7 linked regions of the Xenopus tropicalis genome follow. The protein of the gene in region 7 interacts with the protein of the main gene of each other region in a biochemical or structural test. Links are inferred from orthologs where the notes say so. Each region holds a gene or a part of one and is shown on either strand. Other genes may lie near its edges. The genes, in order: scn5a, slc2a3, mcm7, wwtr1, slc16a7, gucy1a2 and snta1.

What was found.
Region 1: the proteins of snta1 (region 7) and scn5a interact in a test that uses a peptide from one of them, tested with the Homo sapiens proteins (2 studies listed by BioGRID and IntAct). The link is inferred for Xenopus tropicalis from reciprocal best matches to the Homo sapiens genes SNTA1 and SCN5A.
Region 2: the proteins of snta1 (region 7) and slc2a3 interact in a test that uses a peptide from one of them, tested with the Homo sapiens proteins (2 studies listed by BioGRID and IntAct). The link is inferred for Xenopus tropicalis from reciprocal best matches to the Homo sapiens genes SNTA1 and SLC2A3.
Region 3: the proteins of snta1 (region 7) and mcm7 interact in a test that uses a peptide from one of them, tested with the Homo sapiens proteins (2 studies listed by BioGRID and IntAct). The link is inferred for Xenopus tropicalis from reciprocal best matches to the Homo sapiens genes SNTA1 and MCM7.
Region 4: the proteins of snta1 (region 7) and wwtr1 interact in a test that uses a peptide from one of them, tested with the Homo sapiens proteins (2 studies listed by IntAct, with this or other methods). The link is inferred for Xenopus tropicalis from reciprocal best matches to the Homo sapiens genes SNTA1 and WWTR1.
Region 5: the proteins of snta1 (region 7) and slc16a7 interact in a test that uses a peptide from one of them, tested with the Homo sapiens proteins (3 studies listed by BioGRID and IntAct, with this or other methods). The link is inferred for Xenopus tropicalis from reciprocal best matches to the Homo sapiens genes SNTA1 and SLC16A7.
Region 6: the proteins of snta1 (region 7) and gucy1a2 interact in a test that uses a peptide from one of them, tested with the Homo sapiens proteins (3 studies listed by BioGRID and IntAct, with this or other methods). The link is inferred for Xenopus tropicalis from reciprocal best matches to the Homo sapiens genes SNTA1 and GUCY1A2.

The regions. Positions count from the first base shown.
Region 1 is NC_030682.2:13,453,950-13,457,920, reverse strand, and holds the start of scn5a (sodium channel protein type 5 subunit alpha), read right to left. Parts: upstream 2,801-3,971; 5' UTR 2,021-2,800; intron 2,014-2,020; exon of another isoform or gene 1,687-2,013; intron 1-1,686. UniProt on the Homo sapiens protein: Pore-forming subunit of Nav1.5, a voltage-gated sodium (Nav) channel that directly mediates the depolarizing phase of action potentials in excitable membranes.
Region 2 is NC_030683.2:9,034,582-9,038,791, reverse strand, and holds the start of slc2a3 (solute carrier family 2, facilitated glucose transporter member 3), read left to right. Parts: upstream 1-1,410; 5' UTR 1,411-1,464; coding exon 1,465-1,500; intron 1,501-1,631; coding exon 1,632-1,730; intron 1,731-1,899; coding exon 1,900-2,060; intron 2,061-2,924; coding exon 2,925-3,165; intron 3,166-3,294; coding exon 3,295-3,457; intron 3,458-3,652; coding exon 3,653-3,840; intron 3,841-4,210. UniProt on the Homo sapiens protein: Facilitative glucose transporter. Can also mediate the uptake of various other monosaccharides across the cell membrane. Mediates the uptake of glucose, 2-deoxyglucose, galactose, mannose, xylose and fucose, and probably also dehydroascorbate.
Region 3 is NC_030679.2:144,214,356-144,217,855, reverse strand, and holds part of mcm7 (DNA replication licensing factor mcm7), read right to left. Parts: intron 3,412-3,500; coding exon 3,247-3,411; intron 1,814-3,246; coding exon 1,689-1,813; intron 1,604-1,688; coding exon 1,423-1,603; intron 1,333-1,422; coding exon 1,195-1,332; intron 689-1,194; coding exon 539-688; intron 173-538; coding exon 58-172; intron 1-57. UniProt on the Homo sapiens protein: Acts as a component of the MCM2-7 complex (MCM complex) which is the replicative helicase essential for 'once per cell cycle' DNA replication initiation and elongation in eukaryotic cells.
Region 4 is NC_030681.2:122,384,473-122,387,972, forward strand, and holds part of wwtr1 (WW domain-containing transcription regulator protein 1), read right to left. Parts: intron 2,404-3,500; coding exon 2,204-2,403; intron 1-2,203. UniProt on the Homo sapiens protein: Transcriptional coactivator which acts as a downstream regulatory target in the Hippo signaling pathway that plays a pivotal role in organ size control and tumor suppression by restricting proliferation and promoting apoptosis.
Region 5 is NC_030679.2:63,069,974-63,073,966, forward strand, and holds the start of slc16a7 (monocarboxylate transporter 2), read right to left. Parts: upstream 2,801-3,993; 5' UTR 2,790-2,800; coding exon 2,576-2,789; intron 1-2,575. UniProt on the Homo sapiens protein: Proton-coupled monocarboxylate symporter. Catalyzes the rapid transport across the plasma membrane of monocarboxylates such as L-lactate, pyruvate and ketone bodies, acetoacetate, beta-hydroxybutyrate and acetate.
Region 6 is NC_030678.2:160,343,831-160,347,957, forward strand, and holds the start of gucy1a2 (guanylate cyclase soluble subunit alpha-2), read left to right. Parts: upstream 1-1,327; 5' UTR 1,328-1,512; coding exon 1,513-1,749; intron 1,750-4,127. UniProt on the Homo sapiens protein: Has guanylyl cyclase on binding to the beta-1 subunit. Isoform 2 acts as a negative regulator of guanylyl cyclase activity as it forms non-functional heterodimers with the beta subunits.
Region 7 is NC_030686.2:41,872,652-41,876,151, reverse strand, and holds part of snta1 (alpha-1-syntrophin), read right to left. Parts: intron 1,468-3,500; coding exon 1,282-1,467; intron 1-1,281. UniProt on the Homo sapiens protein: Adapter protein that binds to and probably organizes the subcellular localization of a variety of membrane proteins. May link various receptors to the actin cytoskeleton and the extracellular matrix via the dystrophin glycoprotein complex.

The sequences.
Region 1 (3,971 bases), on a different chromosome or scaffold from region 7:
ATTTACCCCAATTCTCTAACTGTACTATTTTACCCCAATTCTCTAACTGTACTATTTTACCCCGATTCTCTAACTGTACTATTTTACCCCGATTCTCTAACTGTACTATTTTACCCCGATTCTCTAACTGTACTATTTTACCCCGATTCTCTAACTGTACTAATTTACCACACTCCTCTAACTGTACTATTTTACCCCAATTCTCTAACTGTACTAATTTACCACACTCCTCTAACTGTACTATTTTACCCCAATTCTCTAACTGTACTAATTTACCCCACTCCTCTAACTGTACTATTTTACCCCAATTCTTCCCCATGGTACTGGATTTACCCCAACACTTTAACTACTGGATTTACAAAAGTCCTATAAATGTACTAGATTTACCCTAATGCTGTAACTCTGGATTCACCCTCCTCCTTCAACTGTACTATTTTACCCCAGCCCTACAAATGTACTTGGTTTACCCAAATTGTCCAGCTGTTCTGGATTTACCCCAGTCCCCCAACTGTATCAAATTATCCCAGTCCTCCAACTGTAGTTGATATACCCCAAACTCCAAATGTCCTGGATTAACCCCAGTCCTCCAACTTTACTTGGCTAGCCAAAATTGTCAAACTGTACAAAATTTACCCGAGTCCTCCAAATTTGATTTACCCCAGTCTTTCAACTGTATTAATATACCCCAATCCCCCCCACTGTACTGGATTTACTGTATTTATCAGATAAGGCGGCTGCGATACTCTTAGTTCTAACGCCCCGCAGACCCGTCACTCCCCGTCTGAACAGGTTTCTCTAGTCCTAAATGGTACTCAGCAATCAGCCTTAATCTTATCAATCTCCCGTGATGTCTTTAGTAGCAGCAGCAGGGCCCTGGGTAAAAAAGACTTTCTGCAACCTGTTATTTATATAGAATGTAGGGCAACCTGCAGCCTCCTTAGCTGTTGTTAAACTACAACTTCTTCCACAACTGAGCGCTTGAAGGCTGGGAAACAGTAATAGAAAGTATTATGCCCGCCATGTTGCCCTTCTGTCTTCATCTTGCCCAACTATACCTGCTGTCCACCGCCAACACACACTCCTACCTACAGCTGCTGCTCCGTGGGGCCCCATTATTGGCAGGGCCCTAAGCAGTCAACCGTACTGTTGTTTAAGAAAAAATAATTTTTTTCCCAAATGTATAGTAAATTAGTAGTAAATTGATGTAAATATATCAATATATATTATATTATACATACAAAAGCACACATATGTGCAATGCAGTGTGCGCAACTTTTCCCTGTATAAATGTGTGTGTGAATATAATATACATACAGTATATACAGTACCCCATTACAAAGCTGTAAAAGCCAATCTAGCCGTAGCCATTTTCAGCATGCCAAGATTTCCAAACTAAAATAAAAATTTACAATAAATCAAATACTGAATCCAAACAAAGGGTTTAAACCCAAATGAAGAAATTTGTTGCTCGCACCCCCGGTTGAATTCAGTAGACGGGGCAATAAGGGCTGAGAGTTGTGGGCGCAAGTCTGGGTATCTGGTTACTAAATGTACAATAGGAAGCAGATGTCTGGCACACACACTCAGCTAGAAGGTAAATAAATGAATTTGATTCAGGAGGCGAAGCCATGCAGCGCGTTCCCAGCACACAGGGTTAGACACATGCCAAGTCTGGGGGATACTTACAGCGCTGGAGAGCTGTCCGCAACAGTTATGACTCCCAGGTCCCCAGAACTGCGGTTAAATTCAGGGGGATTAAACTCCACCGATGGTTCTGCTCTCCCCCCCCCCCCTAAATCTCAGTCCAATTAAAAACTCAGCTCCCGTTGTTATTTGTGGGAGGCACAAGAAGTGGGGAATACGCCAAACCCCCCCACCTCCAGCTGCTGAATTTTGCCAAAGCTGAATAGGAGTAGTGAATATTGAAAAAAAGAAAAAAGCAAGAAGGAAAATAAAAGGGGGGCAAGTTTAGGTATTCCAAGGGGGTGAAGTTGTAGGCAAGGGTGAAGCGTTTAATTACCTGCAGAGGGTTTGCTGAGATTGAGGCTCTGGGATGTGTCCAGTCTGACTAGCAGTTCACAACTGGTCTCAAGGTAAAACCACTCCTCAGTCAACCAGGCAAGCAGCTGCCCCCAGCACTCACTGGGAGGACCAAGTCAAACCCTCTTCAGTTCTCTTGGAATTCCATGTTCCCTCCAAGCCTCGGGGTCCTGTGATAGTGTCAGGACAGGAATGTGGCCAAGAGATTCATGACTGTGCAAGCCCTAAAACCCAGCCAAGCCACCTCCACCTTCCCACCCAGCTGCTCCACCACAACTGCACACTTAGCCAAAGTAGGCTGAGATCCACCAAGGAGCAAAGAGCCCTCCTGTTCTGCGCAATAGGGTTTGCTGAATGCAAATTCAGATTAAAAAGGCAAATGAAATGTTAATAGCTGGTCCCAAACTGGAAGTCTAATCCTTTCTGGGGAAAAGCCATAAAATCATTATTAAAATCACAGTGAAACTCCCAGGCAGGCTGGTCCAGCTGGTTTCTCCTCTCCTGTGGTCAGGTAGTAACGCAGAGGCAGCTCCAAAGTTAGCATCCAAGAAGCTGAAAGTTTCATGGAAAAGCAAGAGTCTTGCAAAGTATTTGCTCCAGCTGAGATTCCCTTTCTGGCACTGTGGGAGCTGATCTAGCTGCACCTTACTGTGGGCTCCAGAGAAATACAAAGAGAATTGCTTCCACCTGCCAATGCAAAGCCTGGGGCAGGTGCGATCTCTAGCATGTTGTCTTCATAATAAGCACAACAGGGAGCACTCTCCACTGAAAGGGATGTGGCTGCAATATTCCCCAGCCAGTCACTCCCTTATACGAACCTCCCATAAGCAACTGTGCACGTACAAACGCTGGATCGTTAGCGCCACCTAGCGGCAGGCTGAATACGCTCGGAATGGAATCCAGCGCTGCGCAGATTTCGTGCTCTTTCAATCCGATTAACTCTTTTTATAATCAATGTGCAGTGATTTTGCCATCATTTGCCTTAAGGAACCAGACGATTATCATGACTAAACAGCAAGAGTTTTATAAATCTCCCTAGAAACAAAAATAAATCATTACAGCACAGTCAGGGTTAATTTTAGGTGAATGTCTCTTTATGTATTAGGTTTTACGAGAGATGTTAGAATTTAAACTCCAAATCTAAAATAATGTGCCCTCATCTATTATTCCATTATTTAACCCCCTAAAGGGGTAGTATAAGCTTAATAAGAGGTAGAGGTGATTCTATCTCTTATTTTGTAGTTTTTTTATATTTACATTTTTTCTTGTGCAGCTGTGACGCTTGGAATTCTAACAGCAATCTCGTTGCTAGGGCTCAACTGCTCAGCAACTAGGAAGAATAGCCGAGGGCCTGAATATAAAGATTAGCATTATTCATTTATTTATTTGTTTGTTTGTTTATTCGTTCTTGCTGGGATAATTTTTTAATTGCAGGTAGAAATGAGGCAGACATAGAAGGTCAATAATGAAACCTCATCCAATATAAAAAAAAATAATAAGGATTGAATAGGCCAATCTACTAAAACTTTATAGAAAGGTAAATTATCCCCCCACTGCTACTATAGGCACCATCTCTCCCTACTATACCTGCTATCCCACAGCCCCAGTCCCTTCCCAGAGGCTATTATCCCCCCACTGCTACTATAGGCACCATCTCTCCCTACTATACCTGCTATCCCACAGCCCCAGTCCCTTCCCAGAGGCTATTATCCCCCCACTGCTACTATAGGCACCATCTCTCCCTACTATACCTGCTATCCCACAGCCCCAGTCCCTTCCCAGAGGCTATTATCCCCCCACTGCTACTATAGGCACCATATCTCCCTACTATACCTGCTATCCCACAGCCCCAGTCCCTTCCCAGAGGCTATCATCCCCCCACTGCTACTATAGGCGCCATCTCTCCCTACTATACCTGCTATCCCACAGCC
Region 2 (4,210 bases), on a different chromosome or scaffold from region 7:
GCTGTTCTGCCCCCAATAAGGGGTAATTATATCTTAGTTGGGATCAAATACAGGTACTGTTTTATTATTACAGAGAAAAGGGAATCATTTAACCATGAAATAAACCCAATAGGGCTGTTCTGCCCCCAATAAGGGGTAATTATATCTTAGTTGGGATCAAGTACAGGTACTGTTTTATTATTACAGAGAAAAGGGAATCATTTAACCATTAAATAAACCCAATAGGGCTGTTCTGCCCCAATAAGGGGTAATTATATCTTAGTTGGGATCAAGTACAGGTACTGTTTTATTATTACAGAGAAAAGGGAATCATTTAACCATTAAATAAACCCAATAGGGCTGTTCTGCCCCAATAAGGGGTAATTATATCTTAGTTGGGATCAAGTACAGGTACTGTTTTATTATTACAGAGAAAAGGGAATCATTTAACCATTAAATAAACCCAATAGGGCTGTTCTGCCCCAATAAGGGGTAATTATATTTTAGTTGGGATCAAGTACAGGTACTGTTTTATTATTACAGATTGATTATGGGAGATGGCCTTTCTGTCATTCTGAGCTTTCTGGATACCAGGTTTCCAGATAACAGATCCCATACCTGTATCTATGCCACATGGCTCTGGTCACTATGGATAGCCTTCCCTGGTGCGCTGTCTGTTTACCTGGTAACAAATATAACCCCAAGCAGTCAGTAAATGTTAGTGATAATATTGCCGGTGCCCATGGGGTTACCCTGCCGGCCCCTCTCCCCGTGCTGCTCCCCATGATGAGGCCGCGCCAGTATTCTCTCCCTGAGTCACTGAGCACAGATGGAGATACGTTCAGCCTTACACGCACGGCCTTCCCTCTTCTATCAAATGTTTTGCCTATTCAGTCACAAAATGATTCATAGGCTCCAAAACCCAAAGGGTTGGGGTAGTTTTTAGTCACTGTTGTGCTCTATTGTGATTTTGTGGAATTCCCGTAATATCTTTTTACTTTGACATACACTTATTGGAAACTTATGAATTCTGTGAACACAAAACTTTTATAGCCACAAAATGATGTTTTTCCACTGAAGAATAATTTTCAGTGTTGTTAAGAATTCTATATTCACATAAAATAAATACCGGGAGCACAAAAATAATGTAAAAGTAGCCGCAAAATGATATTTTTTTGTTATATTATTATTATTAACATTTATTTATAAAGCGCCAACATATTCTGCAGCGCTGTACAATAAGTACAAGATTATTTTTTGTATTCATGGAGTGAACATACATTAAGTTAAATATCGTTACATAGTTAAGTTGGGTTGAACTATACACTTGCATATATATCTATATATACTGTATATACCAATATCTATACTAATTGTAAATTTTAGTATTTTAGATATTTAGTATTTAGATATTATGCCTTGTAGATTGAAGCCTTGGCAATTGTTGGATATCAGTCGCCCAGTCCGACCCTGCCCATCTAATCAATGGCCATGGGAAAGAAAGCAGCCCAGGAACAGGAGGTGCAGAAGATAAGAGCTTTGTGTTTAGTCGATATAATATTTGGTACCTTGGGAATTAGGTGTATAATTAGCAATGCAGTACTCCTCACATCCCCCTAATGGCGCTGTTCCTGTACTCTCTCTCATTTCAGGGCAGAATAACTTGCTCGCTGGTCTTTGCTGTTTGTGTGGCAGCCATTGGCTCCCTGCAGTTTGGATACAACACCGGGGTGATCAATGCGCCTGAGAAGGTGAGAATTCAAGTTTAATAGTAAAAATTCCTCATGAAGACACTTATTTGGCAAATTAAAAGTGTAATTAGTGTTGGTGTGTGGTGCTCGGGAGAAACAATAAGAGTGGAGGAGCCAGTTATTCCAACTCTGGGGGTCATTACATTTACTGAATGTCTGGTCTTTTCAGATCATCAAGTCATTTTATAATGGCACATACGAGCACCGCTATGGGAAGGAAATCTCGGAAAGTCTCCTCACATCCCTGTGGTCTTTATCCGTGGCCATCTTCTCTGTTGGGGGGATGGTGGGCTCCCTCTCAGTGGGCTTCTTTGCAAACCGTTTCGGAAGGTAAGATGGCTTTCATTTGACATGGGCCACCAGCTTCAGAGGGGCCTCTTGGGTGAAAAAGTACATGGACAAAGAGGTTGCCTTGCCTTGGACTTGTGTTAATAGAGCCATAGGTGCCAAGGTTGGGCAGATCATGAGCTTTCTTCAGGAATTTGCTTAGTAAAAAAATATAATAATGTCCACGCAATTATGTGGTGGTCTTGTACACTGCACCTACTAATATGTAAGCTCCCTATAGAGCAGCAGTTGGAAGAGTGACAGATAGCAGGCATAATAGGGGATATTGTGACAGCAGGGAAAGATGGCGAAAGAAGGGTAAGATGGTGGCTTTAGCACTTTATGGTAATGTGGCATTCCCTTGGGCCGTTATTTAGACATAAGGGCACGGCTATACACACTGAGTCTATTAATATGTCAGCTACTCAGCTCCCTTGTTGGAAGAGACAGGGATAACAAGCATATTAGGCAACATGGCAACTCTTGGGGAAGGAGGAGACACGGAGGGTAGATGGCGTTAGAAGGACAAAATGGCAACAGAAAGGCATAATATGAAAACTTTTAGTATAATATGGGTTACTAGACCTGGGGCATGCGTTGCATCAGGTCTGGTAATCCTCAGGAACCAACTGGCAGGTAGTCTTTGCTGGTCAACTGTATGAAAGGTTGCCAAGGGTTACAAGGCCTTATGCAAACTTGTAAGTTTTATTTAATAATTTACATCAGTGTTGTCTAATCTGTGTCCCTTAACCCATCAAACGCCCATTTGCCTGACCTTGAGGCCTTACTTTCTGTTTAGAGATGTGGGACACCTAAAATGGATTCTGTATGTATTAATCCTATGTGCATTATTAACCTATCTCTTAGGAGAAATGCCATGCTGCTTGTGAATGTGGCTGCCATAGTCGGAGGGGTTTTCATGGGTTTCTCAAAACTGGCCTGGTCCCCAGAGATGCTCATCATTGGACGTTTCATTATTGGGATCTTCTGTGGGCTCTGTACTGGCCTGGTACCAATGTATATTGGGGAACTGGCGCCCACCTCTCTTCGTGGAGCTCTGGGAACCCTGAATCAGCTGGGCATCGTGGTGGGGATTTTGGTGGCACAGGTTAGTATACGGCTTTGGGGATGGAGAATGTTGTTCTTTTGTGGATTAAAGGCTAAATTAACTCATTAAGAAGCTTTATATCTATCATTTAAATTTGGATTTTTTGCTTATATCTTTGCCATTCTCTAGATTTTTGGCCTAGAGTTTATCCTTGGATCTGAGACCCTTTGGCCTCTGCTGTTAGGCCTCACCGTTTTCCTGTCCATCATCCAATGCGTGCTTCTACCCTTCTGTCCAGAAAGCCCTCGATACCTGCTCATTGTTAAGAAAGAAGATGAAAAAGCTGAGAGGAGTAAGTATGGGGATACACTCAACATACACCCCCAAATCTTGCTCTGTCTGACTTTGAGCCTGGGCTTCAAGGAACACGTAGGAAAGCAAGGAGAGTAGGGAGACTAATACCAAACGTAAGAAAAGATGGAATAACAGTTTTACCCCCTCCCATTGTGCATTGCTGTAAAGTCACATGATGCATTTCTTCGGCTAGTTCTTCGGAAACTGCGTGGCACTACAGACGTGGCCAGTGATGTCCAAGAGATGAAGGATGAGAGTGCTAGGACGGCAGCAGAAAAATCAGTGTCTATCCTAGAAATCTTCCGCTCCAGCCAGTACCGGCAGCCAATAACAATCGCCATCATCCTCCAACTTTCTCAGCAACTGTCTGGGATCAATGCTGTACGTAACTATAAACCCCTATGAACATTCTATTATACCCCAAGTATCCTTTGTTAGATGCCCTCTCTGCATTCCAATTCTCTCTTCCTTCTTACCCTTCTACTGTAATTGTAACTATAATTGTTATTAGACTGCAAAATAACTGATAAAGTAACCTGGGTCCATTACCCCTGGGTAAGTGAATCCAGTCTTCTCCAAGTACTCACCCCGGTACTGATCTCTCATTCGCTGTACTTTCAGCTTCTGGGGCTGCTCTTTCCCATGATCAGGTTTCACCTACCTAGGTTATGTTCCTATGGGTGCAACTACAAATGGGTCTCCCCTCAGGGGTGTCCAACCTGTACGAGTTTGAACACTAAAGGCTATAAAA
Region 3 (3,500 bases), on a different chromosome or scaffold from region 7:
ATAGTCTATAACCTAGAGAAGTCAGTTCTTCCATACAGGGACTCCTCATCTGCTTACCAGTAATCTGTCGCAGCTCCTCTTCACTCAGCTCTTCTGTTCCGAGTTCATCATCCTCGGTCTTGTTCATTTTCACCAAACGGTGAGATTCGAGGTACGTCTCTGAAAGGAGCCCCTGTAGGAAAAACCACACAAATCACCAGTGAACCCCAAAATTATACAGTTATAACTCAAAAACCATTACAAGTTTGTAAGGAATGTATATTGCTTAGAATTAAGTTTTTTTTATAAGGCAAAAAAATATATTCTGGGTTGACTTGTCCTTCAAACAAATGCTTAGGTAGCCGCGGCCGGGCACTCCCCACAGTACAAAATTGATCATAAAATAGGAATATTATATAGGAATTGCTGTTCTTGTTTACATTTACTCACACAGAAACCTGTACATAAAACCCGCTAAAGGGTAATCCCACCTCACAGCAATATAAGGAAGCTGCTGAGCTAGAATGATGAATTGTAATAACTGTAAATTGTTTATTACCTGTACCACCTGACGGAAGCCAGTTCTTAGCATCGGCAGGAAGACTCCAGTGATACTGACATGGTCCCCGGGCTGAGCGAGCCGCGTGTTCTCCCCACGTACATACACAGACATACAGCGAGGGATGTTCCCAACTGGAACTTGATCACTCTATTGAGAGAGAGGGTTGGAAGACTTAATATCTGCATTGTATACATTTACTCTCATCACTCCAACTTGCAGCGCAGCAGTAAAGTGTGCCTGAGTCTGAGCTTTCAGCCAGCGCTACACATTAGAACTGCTTTCAGCTAACCTATTGTTTCTCCTACTCCCATGTAACTGGAGGAGTCCCAAGCCGGACTTGGATTTCTTACTATTGAGTGCTATTCTGATACCTACTGGGAGCTGCTATCTTGCTCCCTTCCCATTGTTCTGCTGATCGGTTGCTGGGGGTGAGGGGGGGGGGGATATCACTCCAACTTGCAGCGCAGCAGTAAAGTGTGAGTGAAGTTTATCAAAGCACAGGTCACGTGACCGTGCCACCCAGGGAAATGAAGGATATGGCTAGCCCCATGGGAAAAACAGATTACAATGCAGGATTCTGCTGGAGAAGCTCTATTAACTGATGGGTTTATCCCCATCCCATGTCAGTATTGCTTTAAATTTCAGCTACTCACATGTTCTTGAATCTTCAGCTCTTGGAACTTAATAAATTTAGAGCCCCGGGTCTGCAAGTAGAGCCTGCCCCCAGAGCGGTTTGTCTGACACTCCCTGCTGGGACACATTATAAGCGGCATAAAAGTTGGAGATTGAATCTGTAAGAAAAATCAAACCGGTGAGAATCAACAAACTCTGTTGGAAACAATGGAATTCTACAAGTGAAATTATAAATTAGCGACACTCACCGGTTGGTAGGTCTCGGCACCACACTGGTCACATGTGTACGTTGCCACCACCATCATAGGCTTGACTTCTGTGACCCTCGTGACTATGCCCCGAACTGTAACCAACTTGCCGATGGAATCGGCTTTGACATCTCGCACCACGCGGGCTTTTGAGCTGCTCGGAGCTTTGAAGTACAGTTCGCTGCATAGAACACAGGGACGCGGTTTTAGATTATTATTAATGTCATTAAAACCAACCACCAACTGGGCCAGTGAATGGTACTTACAATCTGCGCATAAGCTCTGGGGGGTACTGGTTGTGAGGATCACGGGTCTCACTGGGGTCTCGGCCTCTCTGCTCCATCATTAAGCGGTGCTCAATATACACATCCAAAGCATCTTTATGTACCACCTACAGCAGGAAAGAATAGTAGCCGAGATTATTCTTCCCTAAAACAGAAATGATGCATTTAATTCACATTGCAACTACTGTATTAGGACCAGGATGGATTTCCCATGAAAGACTACAAAGTTATGAATGGGCTTCCATTTCTGTTTCTGATAAACTGAGCAATAAGAACAAAGCTTTATATAATAGGATTTTTGTTACTCACTGTTAAATCCGTCGATAGGGGGGGACACAGGGAACGTACGGGGTTAAGCGCCACCCTCCAAGAGGCAGGACACTTGATTAACAAATTAAAGGGGCGTGCTAGCTGCCGGCATTACCCAATAGGCCCTGATCGAAGTGTTCATATTAGGTCTCACTTGGGACCTAGCTGTCCATCCTCCTGGCAGCAGGACACTTGAAAAACTGATTGGATTGGGTACAGCGGAGGGGTAAATCTGGCAACGGGCACGCCCCTTTAATTTGTTAATCAAGTGTCCTGCCTCCTGGAGGGTGGAGCTTAACCCCCATACGTTCCCTGTGTCCCCCTGAGAAGGCAGAGAAATAGGGACTTCCATATTTGAAATAAGGACTTTGTTGATGGATAATGTTACCTTTAACAGATGAATGCATCAGAGTATTTACAGTTATACAGTATCATATTGTTACTTCTTGTATTGTAGTTTGTATGCCTCACTATGTGAAGTCTGTGGCTAAATACACCATCCCATTGGTGTGGATTATTTACTCTGGCCAGGCTTCACATCCTATAGAAATATAGTATCTAGTAGAAAGCCAAAGCAAATGTACAGGTAACGGACCCCTTAGCTGAAAACCCATTATTCAGAAAGTTAGAATTGCAGAAAGGCCATCTCCCATAGACTCCATTTTAATCAAATCATTTACATTTTAAAAAGGATTTCCTTTCTCTGTAATAATAAAACAGTACCTGTACTTGATCCCAACTAAGATATAATTACCCCCTATTGGGGGCAGAACAGCCCTATTGGGTTTATTTCATGGTTAAATGATTCCCTTTTCTCTGTAATAATAAAACAGTACCTGTACTTGATCCCAACTAAGATATAATTACCCCTTATTGGGGGCAGAACAGCCCTATTGGGTTTATTTCATGGTTAAATGATTCCCTTTTCTCTGTAATAATAAAACAGTACCTGTACTTGATCCCAACTAAGATATAATTACCCCTTATTGGGGCAGAACAGCCCTATTGGGTTTATTTAATGGTTAAATGATTCCCTTTTCTCTGTAATAATAAAACAGTACCTGTACTTGATCCCAACTAAGATATAATTACCCCTTATTGGGGGCAGAACAGCCCTATTGGGTTTATTTCATGGTTAAATGATTCCCTTTTCTCTGTAATAATAAAACAGTACCTGTACTTGATCCCAACTAAGATATAATTACCCCTTATTGGGGGCAGAACAACTCACCTCTCGCTCTTTATACTGGGGCAGCAGCTCCTGAACGGCATCAGCAAACAGGTTTGTGTACCTCCTTGTGTTTTCACAGATTGCATCCACTAACTCGGGGTCCTCCTCGGCCAGGTCATCCAGATCGATGTACAGCGCAACCTGCTCTCTGTGAGCAATATTAGCCTGATAATATAGGGATTAGTCAGGTACAGGTTATATTCTTTTCTGTAGGACTTTTGTACAGTTAACAGATTCTTATATACACAACATTT
Region 4 (3,500 bases), on a different chromosome or scaffold from region 7:
ACAGTAGCCAAACTGATGGCTGGGACAACCAATCAGATTAGAGATCAGGATCTGTAGTAGATTTGCTATTGCCTACCTATCATTATTTTCCTTTCCTTATTTAGCACTGATATATATAATCATTCAAATCAGTTCCTGCCCCAGTCTTGCCATGATCAGGAGTCAATGATCTTGTTGGTATAATATGAAAATCCACCTAGAAATAAGACAAATACAAACTACTTTGTACATAAATAGTATTTGCTAAAATGTAATTGGCTGCCAGAGGTTCCCCCAGTTTCACCTTGTAAGATGTAAACCCCAATAGGAAACCTCCCTGAAACTGATATTCTCTCTCTGCTGGGTGTGTCTGTTGCAAACCAAGCAGCTGTCAGGTCTGGAATTGCTGGATTGCCACTTAGTGACTGCTGTCAGGTTAAAAGTGGAGTTAGGAGACCTGCCAAAAAAATTCCACACCCTTTCACCCAAGCCCTTCAATCTTGTTCCTGTTGCTCAGCAACGACAAGCAGCATTAAGTCAGCATTTTCTTCTCTGTCCAGGTCGCATTAAAGGAAACAATAGAGGGTTGAAAGATTAGCGGAGGAACTGCATAGTTCTTGCAGTCAATACATCACGGGGGGTGGACTGTCTGCTCTACTCTTTGGATCAGTCATTTCTAGCTGTGGGCCTCCAGCTATTGCTGAACTACAACTCAGAGCCAATACAACAGTATTGCAGCAGTATTGCAGAAGAAAACCACTGGTGTGGATGCAGTATTATAAATGTATTTTAAGGAGAACCTAAACCCTTTATTGTAAAAGAAGCACAATGTCCATAATAAATGTCTCCATTGCTACAGCAAATTGTTTGTGTGGTAAGAGCTGCCCTTGACATGGATTAAGCAGCTTTCAGATTCCATTACTGACCAACATATTCCAATAGCCCAACAACTCTTTTAAAACAAAGGTTTGGTTCACTGAAATCTCTATTAAGCACAACTGCAATGACATCCAAAGAACAGTTTCATCACACTATTACACTCGAGAATGGACATAAAAGAACTCATTGCTGGTCTGAGCCAGCCAACTGCCATTTTGATGACATCTTAACATGCATGACATCAGAATGCACCCATTCCATTTAAGACAGCATGCCTTCCTTTGTGATCAGGCATATTAGCACTACAATGTCCCCCAAACTCCCAGCATTTTACTTTCAGCCCAGCACCCAAAGACAATGAAAATAAAAAGCAAAACAAAAGCCCACTGCCTAGAAAATAATATGCCCATATGCTTGGCACAAAGAAAGGAATGTCTGGGGCATGTGCTATGTGTAGAAATATCCAACTGTTTTATTAACAATTATTCCCATGAATAATCTCTGAATTTGAGTGTATAACAGGCAGGGACCTAAAAATAGGACAAGCCCTCTCTGTGATTTATGGGGGGCAAATAGACTGAGGCTACAGCTTTTAAAGGAACAGTTCAGTGTAAAAATAGAATGAGCAAAATTTCTAATATAGTTAGACAAAAATGTAATCTTTAAAGGCTGGAGTGGGCAGTTGTCTAACCTAATGGCCAGAACTTTACTTCCTGCTTTCAGCTCTCTAAGCTGTTAGCAGTCAGTAGCCAATCACTGACTTGAGGGGGGGCATATGGGACATAACTGTTCAGTTAGTCTGTATTTGAATCTGACCTGCATGCTCACAAACTAACTGAGCAGTTATGTACCATGTGCCCCCCCCCCCTAAAGTCACTGACTAACTAAGAGGTTAGAAAGCTGAAAGCAGGAAGTAGAATTCTGGCTGTTTTGTTAGACACCTGCCCACTCCAGCCTTTATACATTACATTTTTGCCTAAATAATAACTAACTATATTGCAAACATCTTTTATTTTGCGCAATCTATCCATTTACCAGTTTCATTTTTACACTGAACTGTTCCTTTAAGGACATACCAGCCTGAACCATCATACTATGGTATCAAGACATTTGCTAAATACAGCCATCCTTGCACGGTACATACACAATAGTAATAAAAAGCACTAAAGATATGAATACCCTTCCCCTTCCAAAATCATCAAAGTCCCTAACCCTAAAACATTCAGCAACTGACTGGTGTAGCAAGAGAGACCCTGGCCAATGTTCCAAGGATCTTCTTGTCCAGTGGTTTAAGGCACAAGTACCTATAACTATTACACAACCATGGTTGTTTATTGATAATTACCTGTCTCAGCAGCTCCTCCTGACGCATCCGGATTCTCTCTCTCTCCATCTGGATCCGTTGAAGCCGAAGTTTCTGTTGCTGCTGTTGCTGGGTGGTAAGAGCATTGGGCAAATTGATTAGCGCTGCTTGAGGATTCTGGGTCGGATGGTTCTGTTGAGGTATGGCAGGGCTGGAAGTTATTTGTTGGGGATGGTTCATCACTGTAAATAAACAGAAAAGCAGGATTGCAGTGAAAGCATGCACCTAAAGCATCACGGCAAACTCTATTAATGATTTGCTTGAACCACCAATATATATTGATGGCATGCTAGAATGTACGGGGATATATATTTATGGCCAAGGCTGGGCCTGCAGGTTTGCCTCTCATTGTCGGAAAGAAAATCAGGTTATTCTAGCAAACCATGGGCCCCGCTTTATCAATCACAGTCCATAAAGATGTATTTGCAAAGCAAAAAGGTCCATCATTTCGTCTGAATAAAATCAATTTAAGAAAAGCTCATTCCAGACAAGAAACAAAACTAAAAAAAACATGAAAACAGAATTTCACACAGGCTGATGAGCACAGACCTTTGGATTACATTTTAAAAATAACCCTATCTTACAAATATACTAATTAACAAACTGTCATGGTAGAGTTACATTGTAGTTAAGGCAACAAGGAAGTATTATGCACATACTTGTCCCTAGGCCACCCACTTTGGAAGCCTACTGCCTGATCCTTGGCTAATCCCAGCCATATATTTCTGAGCAGTTTAAATTTGAAAATGCTGAAACATCACCTATGGGAGTGCCCTAGATATGTAAGCTACAGTGTTAAATAAAAGTAACCTTCCCCTTTGTAATTGGCATTAGGTGTAAAAAAGAAGAAATTAACTTCTATTTCACTACAAGGTTATAAAGGTATACATTTCCCTTACAACAATGAATGCAGCATTTTGAACATATTTTTCTTGGAAAAGTTACAGTGATCATTGTCATTGGGGCACTCCCCACTAAATACAACAAACAGAAAGCATCACGCATAGCCATTGGCCCATGATTACTACTTCAAAATATGGAAATGAGCATTATCACATCCCATAAGCTCCCAATGGCTATTCCCTCTGTGGCCAATCATAGCAAATACTGATTGCCTCTGATGGCCTCTATATTTCTCTTGACTAGGAATCTACAGTTGCAAGAAAAAGTATGTGAACCCTTTGGAATTATATGGATTTCTGCAGAAATTGGTCATAAAATGTGATCTGATCTTCATGTAAGTCACAACAATAGACAATCACAGTCTGCTTAAACTAAT
Region 5 (3,993 bases), on a different chromosome or scaffold from region 7:
TTTTCATCCTGCTTCTGGTAATTCTGATCTGGACTCTACTATCCCTTGTGTGAAGTACCTTAAACTTTTACCAGCCATTTGTATGTCTGTTTACAAAGTCTCTTGTTCCCGATTGTCAGGCACCTGTCCTGCATGTGCTCAACTTTGGCTCTCTCCCTGGTGCCAACTAAACCCTCAAAAAGGGCAATTGGCCCCTGTTCCTGGCAGAATGCTTCTTAGATTGAACTAAAACAAGCAGATAAAACAAGTCACAGATTTTTTTTTGTTGTCTTTTGACACTGGCATTTTCACTCCTAAACAACTCTGGCAAGATATATTCAAACCAGCATGCATTTTTGAATGGTGTTAGTAATATCATTCAGCAGACATCTTTGTGCCAGAGAAAATTGCAGTAAGAAATTTCAAGTGAGAAAAAGAGATAATAAATCCTCTGCCCTGTCTCATATCAATATATTAAGAACATTAAGCAGGGACACGTAACTGTCCTTAGGCTGAAGAGGTGGCAAAAAGCCGCTCCTGGTAACTTCAAGAGCTGAAATTTCATTTTTTTTTCTGCTTTCTGCGCTAGCAATGTGGCTCTCCCTCAGCCCTCTTTGATGCAAAAAACCTAAATATGGAGGCAGGGCCACCATTACAACAAAATTATATGGGCCCTGCAAGGATCCTAATGGTTACAAATACAAAAACCATTGGTGGCCAGGGGCTCTATTGGTTTAAAAAATAAATAATTGAACCCTAAAATGTATACACATAAGCCTGTAAATGACACAGCCCAGGGCCCAATCAGTGACATTATTGATGGTTGATATGTGATGCTCATGCTGTCAATGCCATTCTTTTCAGGGGTAAATTTACTGGCACAATTGCCATATTATTTCCATGATGTAGCAATTCTTCCATGAGTTCCGGCATTGTTGCACTCACAATTGCAGCTGATGCATCAAAATTAGAGAAAGGGGGCGGCCTCAGGGCGCCGGGCTATCAAATCTGGCCCTGATCCCATGTCAATTTTTCCAATGTTCCCCAGCATCCCCCCTGTGCCATTCTATTCTCCAATCTCCACTGCTTAAGTCCTAGTAGAGCCACATGGGACTGGAAGCTGAACTTTTTCCCATGCCTATCCAATCCCCATGCAGCTCCGCCGGGACTTAATTACTGCGGAAAAAATGAGCAGTATAGAGAGCTGTGTAGGGCAAAGAAAATGCAGGGGCCCCAACTTCACCCTCCCATTCTGAGTCTGCAGCTCACTGATAGTACTGGTGGCCCGAACCGGGATAAAGGAGTAAAGTATGGCCAGCATTCCCTTAAGACCAATAACTTACTGGACCTGGGAGAACTGTCCCCCCATGATGGTGGCCCTGTGCGGAGGGGCAGCACTAGCGGCCAAAACACCCCTGACATGATATTCTATATATGACTTCTCGAATATAAATGTATTCGAGAAGTCTAGAGGATATGTCTTAAAAAATAAAAAAAAGTTGCCGTTGTACTACAAAGACTCGGCTTACTTGCAAAGGACACTGCTACTAGCAGTAAAGTGCACAAAATATAAATTACTATCTTCTGGTTTTTACTAGCTGGAACATCATTAATATGGAAATTAGGATAGATAGGACTCAACCCTACAAAACAGGGAACAGGCAACACGCAAGACAGAAGGAAAAGTAGACAGTAGTATTTTTGTTTTTTCAATATGGGCAAATTATGATGAGTCTCTGTGAACAGAAAATATAGGCATTAACATGGCAGTGTGTAATTCCTGCATGCAGAGAAAGTGTTTTTTGGAGCTGCAGTGCAGCATAGCACCAGCACTGAACTAGGCTTTTTTTCAGTTCCTCTTTAATTTTAAAATTATGTCAGTACAACATATATTTAATATGTAGAGCACATGTGCTGTCAAATGATCAGTATATTTATTATTACATTGAAAGAAAAGAACAGTTTCACCTAGAGTATTGACCTTTAGCACAAAAAAGGTTGCAAAACTAAAAGGAAACAACAGTTATTATATACATATATTATGCCAATATCAAAGGGGCTGTTTACATTTAGATTAAGATTTTGTAAATTAAATTAAGATTTTGTATGATGTTTTCAGCAGAATTATGTTTGTGAATAGTCTTTATTTCTTAAACTCCATGTTTTCTTTAATTAAAAAGTTGTATATATATTTGCAGCTTTCAGGCTTGGAATTTAAACTAAATGCTTGCTAGGGGTCAGTGAAAATGACTAACAGATAGCATTTTCATTTGCAAGCTGGAAAGAAGCAGAATAGTATGTTGCTTAGAACTGGTCCTTATACAATGTCATTTTTCAGTGTGAAATGTTTTGAAGATTCCAAGTAGATATCTTGATTTATGTACAAGTATGGGCTCCAATATACAGAAACCTGTTAGTGATTATATTTTTTTGCATGTGTAAATGTGCCCAGTTTGTTTGTTTTTCTGTCTTAAATATGATTATATTTTTAAATGATATATTTCTCAATGATACAAATAAAATATAATTAACTTATATATTTTACAAAGGTGAATAGCTTGAAAACACCATAATTGAATAACTTAAAATTCCTTACCTCCTGCATACATGACAGCCAACATAATTGATGATATCCAAGCAATTTCACTATATGAGGTATTGAATATCTCTTGGATTTCCTTGAAGAATACTGTAATGGCTTTAGGAAATGCATAAGAAAATCCAATTGAAATAAATGACCCAAAGACCACAACCCATCCCCAGCCTCCATCTGGGGGAGTGTACTGTAGAGTCACTGGTATGTCGGGCATTTTTCAAAAACTTTCTGTAAAAGAGAAAATATATATATAAATAAATGAAACAGTACTCTTATTAAGTTTCATCGTCATAAAATAAACGGGGAAAGAGTTCAGAGACGTTCATAATGAGGACAAACATATATAAAAACAACACTGCCCTAGATGATATAAATATTTGCACTGAGGTAATTTGATAGTAATGTAAAAGTAATCATGAAGAAATTAGGACAGTAGGATTATTATAAAAGTAATCCAAACCCTGTCTAGGTGATTTTCAACTAGATGGCAAGTGGTTTTATGACTGCAATAACATGCACCCTGTAATCTGGTCCTGGGAACTATCCATAGGTGGATTTGAACCTTTTGCTTTTTTGCTCTGGGCTAAAGAGTCAGGCTGTATCTTGTTCAGTTAATTGTACTTGAGACTTGTCACTTCAGTCTATGTTTCTAGTTTTGCTAATTACGCTCAGCTACACTGCATTAACCAGCTGGTGCTGTTTGTTGTATGACATCTCCCTCTGTGTGTGCCTTAATAAAGCCCAGTCCTGCACTTTGTCCTTGCTTGTGATATGTCTTGTTCCCCGAGATCCTTCAATACTTGAATCCTGATTCTGATCATGTTTCTAGCTGTGACTTTGTTTGTAGTCCTTGTTACTGCTCATAGCCCTGTTACCTATTTTGGCTTAGTTTCCTTGATCCTGCACTTTGTTTTGACCTTATCCTGTCTTACCTCTTACTAAATAGTTCTATCTTTTGCTCCTAAAATGACCCTATGTAGGATCTAACCTACCACTGGCTAGTCACAGGGTCCCTCTTCCCCCATCTCCCACTTCACTGGGGCCTTCCTTACTCCAGGCTTCTGGCATTTACCTATCCTACCTAATATACTGTTAGAAGTCATATGATATCCTGAGACCAATGGGAACCTCACCAAAGACAGAAAGGTTGCCTACGCCTCTTCCCCACCCACACTTAGACAATCCATCTAAGACCAATAAACTGAGTGGGGACTAACAGCTAGAGCAGCAGATCTCAACCTGTGGTTTGGGACCCCTTTTGGTGTCGAACGACCCTTTCACAGGAGTCGACTAAGACCATCAGAAAACATATATTTCCAATGGTCTTGGGAACTGAGACAATGCTCCTTTATGGTTGGGGGTCACCACAACATGAGGAACTGTATTAAAGTGTCACAGCATTAGGAAGGTTGGGAACC
Region 6 (4,127 bases), on a different chromosome or scaffold from region 7:
AGACATGTCGGTGTATATGAGGGATGAAGAGATAGACATGTCGGTGTATATGAGGGATGATGAGAGAGACATGTCAGTGTATATGAGGGATGAAGAGAGAGACATGTCGGTGTATATGAGGGATGAAGAGACAGACATGTCGGTGTATATGAGGGATGAAGAGAGAGACATGTCGGTGTATATGAGGGATGAAGAGAGAGACATGTCGGTGTATATGAGGGATGAAGAGACAGACATGTCGGTGTATATGAGGGATGAAGAGACAGACATGTCGGTGTATATGAGGGATGAAGAGAGAGACATGTCGGTGTATATGAGGGATGAAGAGAGAGACATGTGGGTGTATATGAGGGATGAAGAGAGAGACATGTCGGTGTATATGAGGGATGAAGAGAGAGACATGTGGGTGTGTATATGAGGGATGATGATACTGACCTGTCACAGAATGTGTGGTGAAGGACATGGAAGCTAAAAGTCAGCTAGTTTATAACAGGGGATGATGGGATAAACATGTTATTGTACTTGAGGGGAAATATCAGGAAGCTGGGATAATCTGTCAGTATATAATAGAGGATGATGGGATAAACATGTCGGTGTATATGAGGGATGATGGGATAGACATGTTAATGTATATGTGGGATGGTGTGACAGACATATCACAGTATAAATGAGGGATTATGGGATAGACACGTTACTGTATATGAGAGATAATGGCATACAAATGTCAGTGTTTATATGGGAATGCTGGGACAGAGAGGCTAGGGCATATGGAAGATGGTGGTAAAGACCTGGACATATGTTTTGCATGCAACGTGTGGAGATGGGGCATAAGGAGCATACCACTGTGTGAGAGAGGGGGGGCTGGGAAAGGAAAGGCACTAGAGCTGATGCTCACTGTGTATATGTAAGGCTGCCAGTGTATGGCTGAGGGGGAAGAGTTGCGCCTGTGTATATAACAGGACATATGCATGGCCTATGTGCCCCTTTGCATTCTCACAGTAATTATATCTCCCAGCTGCAATCCATCAGCCGCTTCTCTCCGGCCGGAGCAAAGGAAGCGCAGTGTCCCCCCTCCCTCACGCTAACTCCTGGGAAAGTGCGTCCCGCTTTGCCAATGGGTTTGGGTGACAGGCAGGAGAGCCCCCGGCAGGAACACGTGATGCACTGAGCAGCGGAGAGATACGCAGCCGGGAAGGCACAGACAGGGAGGATGAGAGAGGGAAGCGCAGCCTCTTTTAAAAGACAGAGGGAAAGGGAAGAGGCGCCACACAGCACGGTGCTGCCCAGAGAGTCACTGCCGCTGCTGCACACACACAGGGGAGAGAGACAAAAGGAAGGGCTGCTGCTGAGGGGGGGGATCCCAGGCACAGTGCGTGTATATAAATGAGAAGGTGGAACCCTGACAGGAGACTGAGAGGCTCACTTCCCCGGCATGAGCAGTGTTGCTAGAGCCTGACGGAGCCGCACAGCCCTGCATCTCATGCGGTTCCTTTACCCAGCAGCCTCAGCAGCATGTCCAGGAGGAAGATCTCATCGGAATCGTTCAGCTCGCTGGGGTCGGACTACCTTGAGACCAGCCCGGAGGAGGATGCTGAATGCCCTTTAGCCCGGCTGTGCTGGAATGGCAGCAGGAGCCCACCTCAAGAGCAGCACCCTCAGCCGGTCATTGGACCCAAGAGGGCAACCAGGAGGAGACGGGTCAATCTGGACTCTCTGGGGGAGAGTATCCGGAAACTGACCTCCCCTACGGTAAAGCCTCATTCACTTGCCCGGGGACCGGGGGTGGGTGGGGGGGAGCTTCCATCTCTCCTGGTATCCAGGCACCCAGGCAGGAGATTCCTTTGCACCCCCACTGGGGACAGGGCAGCCTTCCCCTGCTGCAACCAATGGCATTGGGCTACCCTGGCCCTGGGGCATATGCTCATTACTGCCCTGGCCCTGGGGCATATGCTCATTACTGCCCTGGCCCTGGGGCATATGCTCATTACTGCCCTGGCCCTGGGGCAAATGCTCATTACTACCCTGGCCCTGGGGCATATGCTCATTACTGCCCTGGCCCTGGGGCATATGCTGATTACTGCCCTGGCCCTGGGGCATATGCTCATTACTGCCCTGGCTCTGGGGCATATGCTCATTACTGCCCTAGCTCTGGGGCATATGCCCATTACTGCCCTGGCTCTGGGGCATATGCTCATTACTGCCCTGGCCCTGGGGCATATGCTCCTTACTGCCCTGGCACTGGGGCATATGCTCCTTACTGCCCTGGCCCTGGGGCATATGCTCCTTACTGCCCTGGCACTGGGGCATATGCTCATTACTGCCCTGGCCCTGGGGCATATGCTCATTACTGCCCTGGCCCTGGGGCATATGCTCATTACTGCCCTGGCACCCACTGGCATTTACCTAGAGCTCTTACACTTTGCTGTGAGTAGGCGGGTATGGCTATTGTACCCCCAGCTGGGGTTGAATTAAAGTTCCCAGCATCCTTATTGGGTTAGGGGTCTGTGTGTGTGTGGTGGCTATGGGCATTCATATAGAGATCCATTCAGCATTAACCAGTATAATTAATTAAAGGGAGTTTATATATATATACTAGAAATTTTAAATATGTAATAACACTAGATAGGTAACTAAGTAGTGTACCTGTAATTCCCAATAAACATCAGTAAGGTGTATGTACATATATATATTAGGATACGGACAGGAATGCTATTCACATATGAATGCCAGCATTATTGCCTCCATTGATTGCAGTTAACGCTCTGCATAGCACATTAAATGATGTCTGTATTGGTAGCAGGCATGTCTCTGGGTTTAACCTCACCAGTGCTGGAGAGAAGAAGCTTTGTGCTGCAGTTGGCAGTTTATGGCAGATGCTCTAGGTTGCTAAGGGGTTAAATGCCAAGGCTGTAGATGATATCACAATGGGCGATGGGGAGAGTTAGGCACATCTGCACAGGGTGCGTGGGCAAAATGCAGAGCGAGGAGAGATACACGGAGGCGCTTGGCTAAGGAGTTCTGTTAAAGGCTCTTATTGGCATAAGAACATAAGAAGTAAAATCCCAAATGTTAACAAAGTTAAATGGGGGCCCTGGGAATTGCAAAAGGCTGGGGTTCCCTACCTAAGGGCAAATAGAGATATATATTCTACATACACTTTTTTCTCGCAAATGTGTCTGACTAGATCGTTTTATTACATTTAAAGGGAAGTGCTGCAGGGATCTATTCAAACCCTATCTGTCCTGCCCTGTACGTGCTTCCTGGTTTGTGAGAGGTGGTGTGGTCAGCTTACCCAAATGGCCCCTGTGATTCTGGGGCCCCCATGCTAAAAGGCACAGGCAACACTACATTACTGAGAGTTTGTGCACAATGTGTGTAATGTGCAAATGGCAAGGGATTGGGTATGCTGTTAGCACTGTAATGAAACCAAATGGCAAGGGAACATGCCTGTGTGCCTGAGATACTACCAGACCGAGCAGTAGGTTCATTCTGAGCTCCATCCTCACGTGAATGTGGCACCAGAATGAAACAGGGAAATGAGAATTTGGTGGGGGATCTGTAAATGGCAGTGAGGTGTTGGGGTGAGAATGAGGCCATGTATTGCCATTCCCCTCTGGCTTCATAGACAAGGAACATGTTAAGTGATGCTGAAAGAAATAATTGAAACAGAGAGTTTAGCTCATTCCTAAATCCTTGACAATTCGGCCTTTGCAGCAGTCGGGCAAGAGGGAAATGCCGTAGCCTTCTATGTTACATAACAGCCAGTATAGCCCCTGTTATCAGTTGCTTTAGGATGTGCAAACCCAGTATCCAGAATGTTAAAACATGGCAATGCCGTTCACTGCTTAACGTTTAAACATTTATTCATTTTTCCCTAATTTTCTGTTCTTCTCTAATAATAAAACATTGCCTTTTATGCCAATATACAACAATACCTGAAAAAGAACTCTAGCCCTTAAGCAGTTTACAGACCAAAGCCTACAAGCCAAGTCTGGCCTCAGGTTGCCTATAAGTAACCAGATTTTTTCCCTCTTGGCAAGGGCTCATTAAGAAGACTAATTATAAAATAAACAAGTTTGCCAGTGTAACAGTTAAGGTGTATGTGCGGTTTTGTGTAGCAGCCATTT
Region 7 (3,500 bases):
GTTAGATTTTTGCCCAAGTGAGCAGCCATTAATGCTGAGCAGGTTTGGTCATTTCTTTCTGCATTTCAGGTCTATAACATTAAAGTAGGATTGAGCAGGTATTCATAAAATGTTTAAACTCTAAAGCAATAATGTTTTATTATTGTACTAGATACATAAAAGGGGGTTTAGCTTGTAGCCCTACACCTGTTGTCTAGCCTGTGACCACCCAGCTGTTATTTTCCAACAGGTACAGGACCCTCCAACACCCCTGATTTATTATTTCCTCTCTAGATGTGGCTTAACCTTCAACCAAAACTCATAATGGGTTTACATCGGTTATTAGTAAATGGATCCCACAGTGTCAGATTGGAAATTGGCCGGTGTAAGTACAAAATAAGCACTTTCACTCCGTGTCTCTGCTCCCCTTGCAGTGATGCCTCCCACGTTCCCCTCCCAGATTCCCTGGAATGTGCACAGTCCCCTCAACAGCTGTGCGGGAACCATGAAAAGCAGGAAAAAATTCTTGTTCAACAGAAGAAATGGGGAAGAGTTAAACTGAAGCAGTATGTTTATCTATACACTGGCACCCAATAACTAGTAACTAACCCAAATGTTATTCTGTAACTGGCACAGCCGTTCTTATAACTCTGTCTCACAGTGCTAATTATACCCACTTCATATAGATTCGACTGGAAGCCCAGTCTGTACCTATAACTCCTCCTATTACTCCATATACCCCTCCCTATAACTCCTCCTATTGCTCCATATACCCCTCCCTATAACTCCTCCTATTGCTCCATATACCCCTCCCTATAACTCCTCCTATTGCTCAATATACCCCTCCCTATAACTCCTCCTATTGCTCCATATACCCCTCCCTATAATTCCTTCTACTGCTCCATATACCCCTCCCTATAACTCCTCCTATTGCTCCATATACCCCTCCCTATAACTCCTCTTATTGCTCCATATACCCCTCCCTATAACTCCTCCTATTGCTCCATATACCCCTCCCTATACCTCCTCATATTGCTCTATATAACCCTCCCTATAACTCCTCCTATTGCTCCATATACCCCTCCCTATAACTCCTCCTATTGCTCCATATACCCCTCCCTATAACTCCTCCTATTGCTCCATATACCCCTCCCTATACCTCCTCATATTGCTCCATATAAACCTCCCTATAACTCCTCCTATTGCTCCATATACCCCTCCCTATAACTCCTCCTATTGCTCCATATACCCCTCCCTATAACTCCTCATATTGCTCCATATAAACCTCCCTTTATTACTCACCTTCCAGCACCACCTCCTTTCCAGTCTTCTTCAGAGCCTGCACAGCATCATCATGAGTAGCCTCTGACAGGTCTACCCCATTAACAGACAGGATTGCATCCCCCACATATAATGACCCTGTCAAGTCAGCAGCCAGGCCTTTGAAAATCTTGGAGATGAGGATGGGCATCTTGTTCTCCCGGCCACCTTGTAAACAAAAAGATGTCGATTAATCTATTGGTATGGAACTGTTCCTTCAATACATAACTTAAACTAGAGGAAAAAAATCATCCAATCCTAGATAAATGGTATGGCAGTGACACGTTGCACCCCAATACACGTAAGGCGTGTATACAGGCAATGGCTACTCCTTGGGCCATACTCTATGGAGAGTGCAATGCAATGGGGCACAAAGCAGCCTGTACTTTATGCCAGTTGCATGTTGGCTAATGTTACATACTGAAGTTCTGATTGAGTTTTCATTTACATGTATAGAAGCATCTGCAAAAAATAATATTCCTTTTCCAGTCACACTTTCATCTGTTTCTAATTCTGCATTTCTAAAATGTAAGAAACAGACATTTTCAGATGACTCCACAAACTCCAGGGAAATAGCAGCCCAGTTCAACCTTTGCCAAAGAATTTATTTTCTCTGTAATACTCTAGCCTAAAGCGTAAATGGTCTTAAAGGGCTACTGTACCCTTATTTGTTTTAATGCTGAATTGTGCTTAGTACAGGGGAATATCTATACAGGAACTGAGCCCATAAACATGGCACTGCCATTAGTACACTTTGGGCCTAGGGGGGACTGAGCCCATAAACATGGCACTGCCATTAGTACACTTTGGGCCTAGGGGGGACTGAGCCCATAAACATGGCACTGCCATTAGTACACTTTGGGCCTAGGGGGGACTGAGCCCATAAACATGGCACTGCCATTAGTACACTTTGGGCCTAGGGGGGACTGAGCCCATAAACATGGCACTGCCATTAGTACACTTTGGGCCTAGGGGGGACCGAGCCCATAAACATGGCACTGCCATTAGTACACTTTGGGCCTAGGGGGGACTGAGCCCATAAACATGTCACTGCCATTAGTACACTTTGGGCCTAGGGGGGACTGAGCCCATAAACATGGCACTGCCATTAGTACACTTTGGGCCTAGGGGGGACTGAGCCCATAAACATGGCACTGCCATTAGTACACTTTGGGCCTAGGGGGGACTGAGCCCATAAACATGGCACTGCCATTAGTACACTTTGGGCCTAGGGGGGACTGAGCCCATAAACATGGCACTGCCATTAGTACACTTTGGGCCTAGGGGGGACTGAGCCCATAAACATGACACTGCAATTAGTACACTTTGGGCCTAGGGGGGACTGAGCCCATAAACATGGCACTGCCATTAGTACACTTTGGGCCTAGGGGGGGCTGAGCCCATAAACATGGCACTGCTATTAGTACACTTTGGGCCTAGGGGGGACTGAGCCCATAAACATGTCACTGCCGTTAGAAAAGTTTGGACCTAAAGCTTGCTATGCAAACCAGTAGATCTGTGCCTGATTTGGCCACCATCCCAACAATGTGACCCTAAATAGCGCCTCAGGGGACCTGCTGGGAGAGAACGGTATCAATATGCCAATGCAGTCATCACCTGATTTTTTAACCAGCTGATCTGCAGGCAGATATTGGTTGGGCAGGTTTTCATTCACCATTCACAGGCCAATACATTTTTCCTGCAACTCTCTGCCCCAGGATACTGTGAGTCCTTGATCATTTCCTACAAGCGGCTGACCCTTTAGAAAGACAGCAACAGGCTTCAGCTAAATCTGACATGCAAGCCGCTGCTATTTTAGGATTAGCAGTTATGTGACAGAGTAAGGCTGAGTGAGCAGCCCGCCACAAACGGAGTCCGGACCCTCCATTTTTCCAACAAAAACATTCAGCGTTCAGACTTTGCCTATAATGCCAATGCAATAAAACCAGAACAAAATTAATTTCAAGCTTAACTTCCCCTTTAAAAGTCTTAAGAAGTTCCAAAATGCAAGATTCCTATAATATTCTGGTACATGAATATACACTATATCATGTCCCTTAAATTTCCCACGCTCCTTTGTGCTGCAGGGAGAGTAGGTGTTGGGGGGCAGGGAGGAAAGGCAGTCCCGGCAGTGTCCCCCCTCCCAAACAAACCAATATAACAGCATGGGACATTCCTCAGCCAATAAGAGAGAGGGAGAT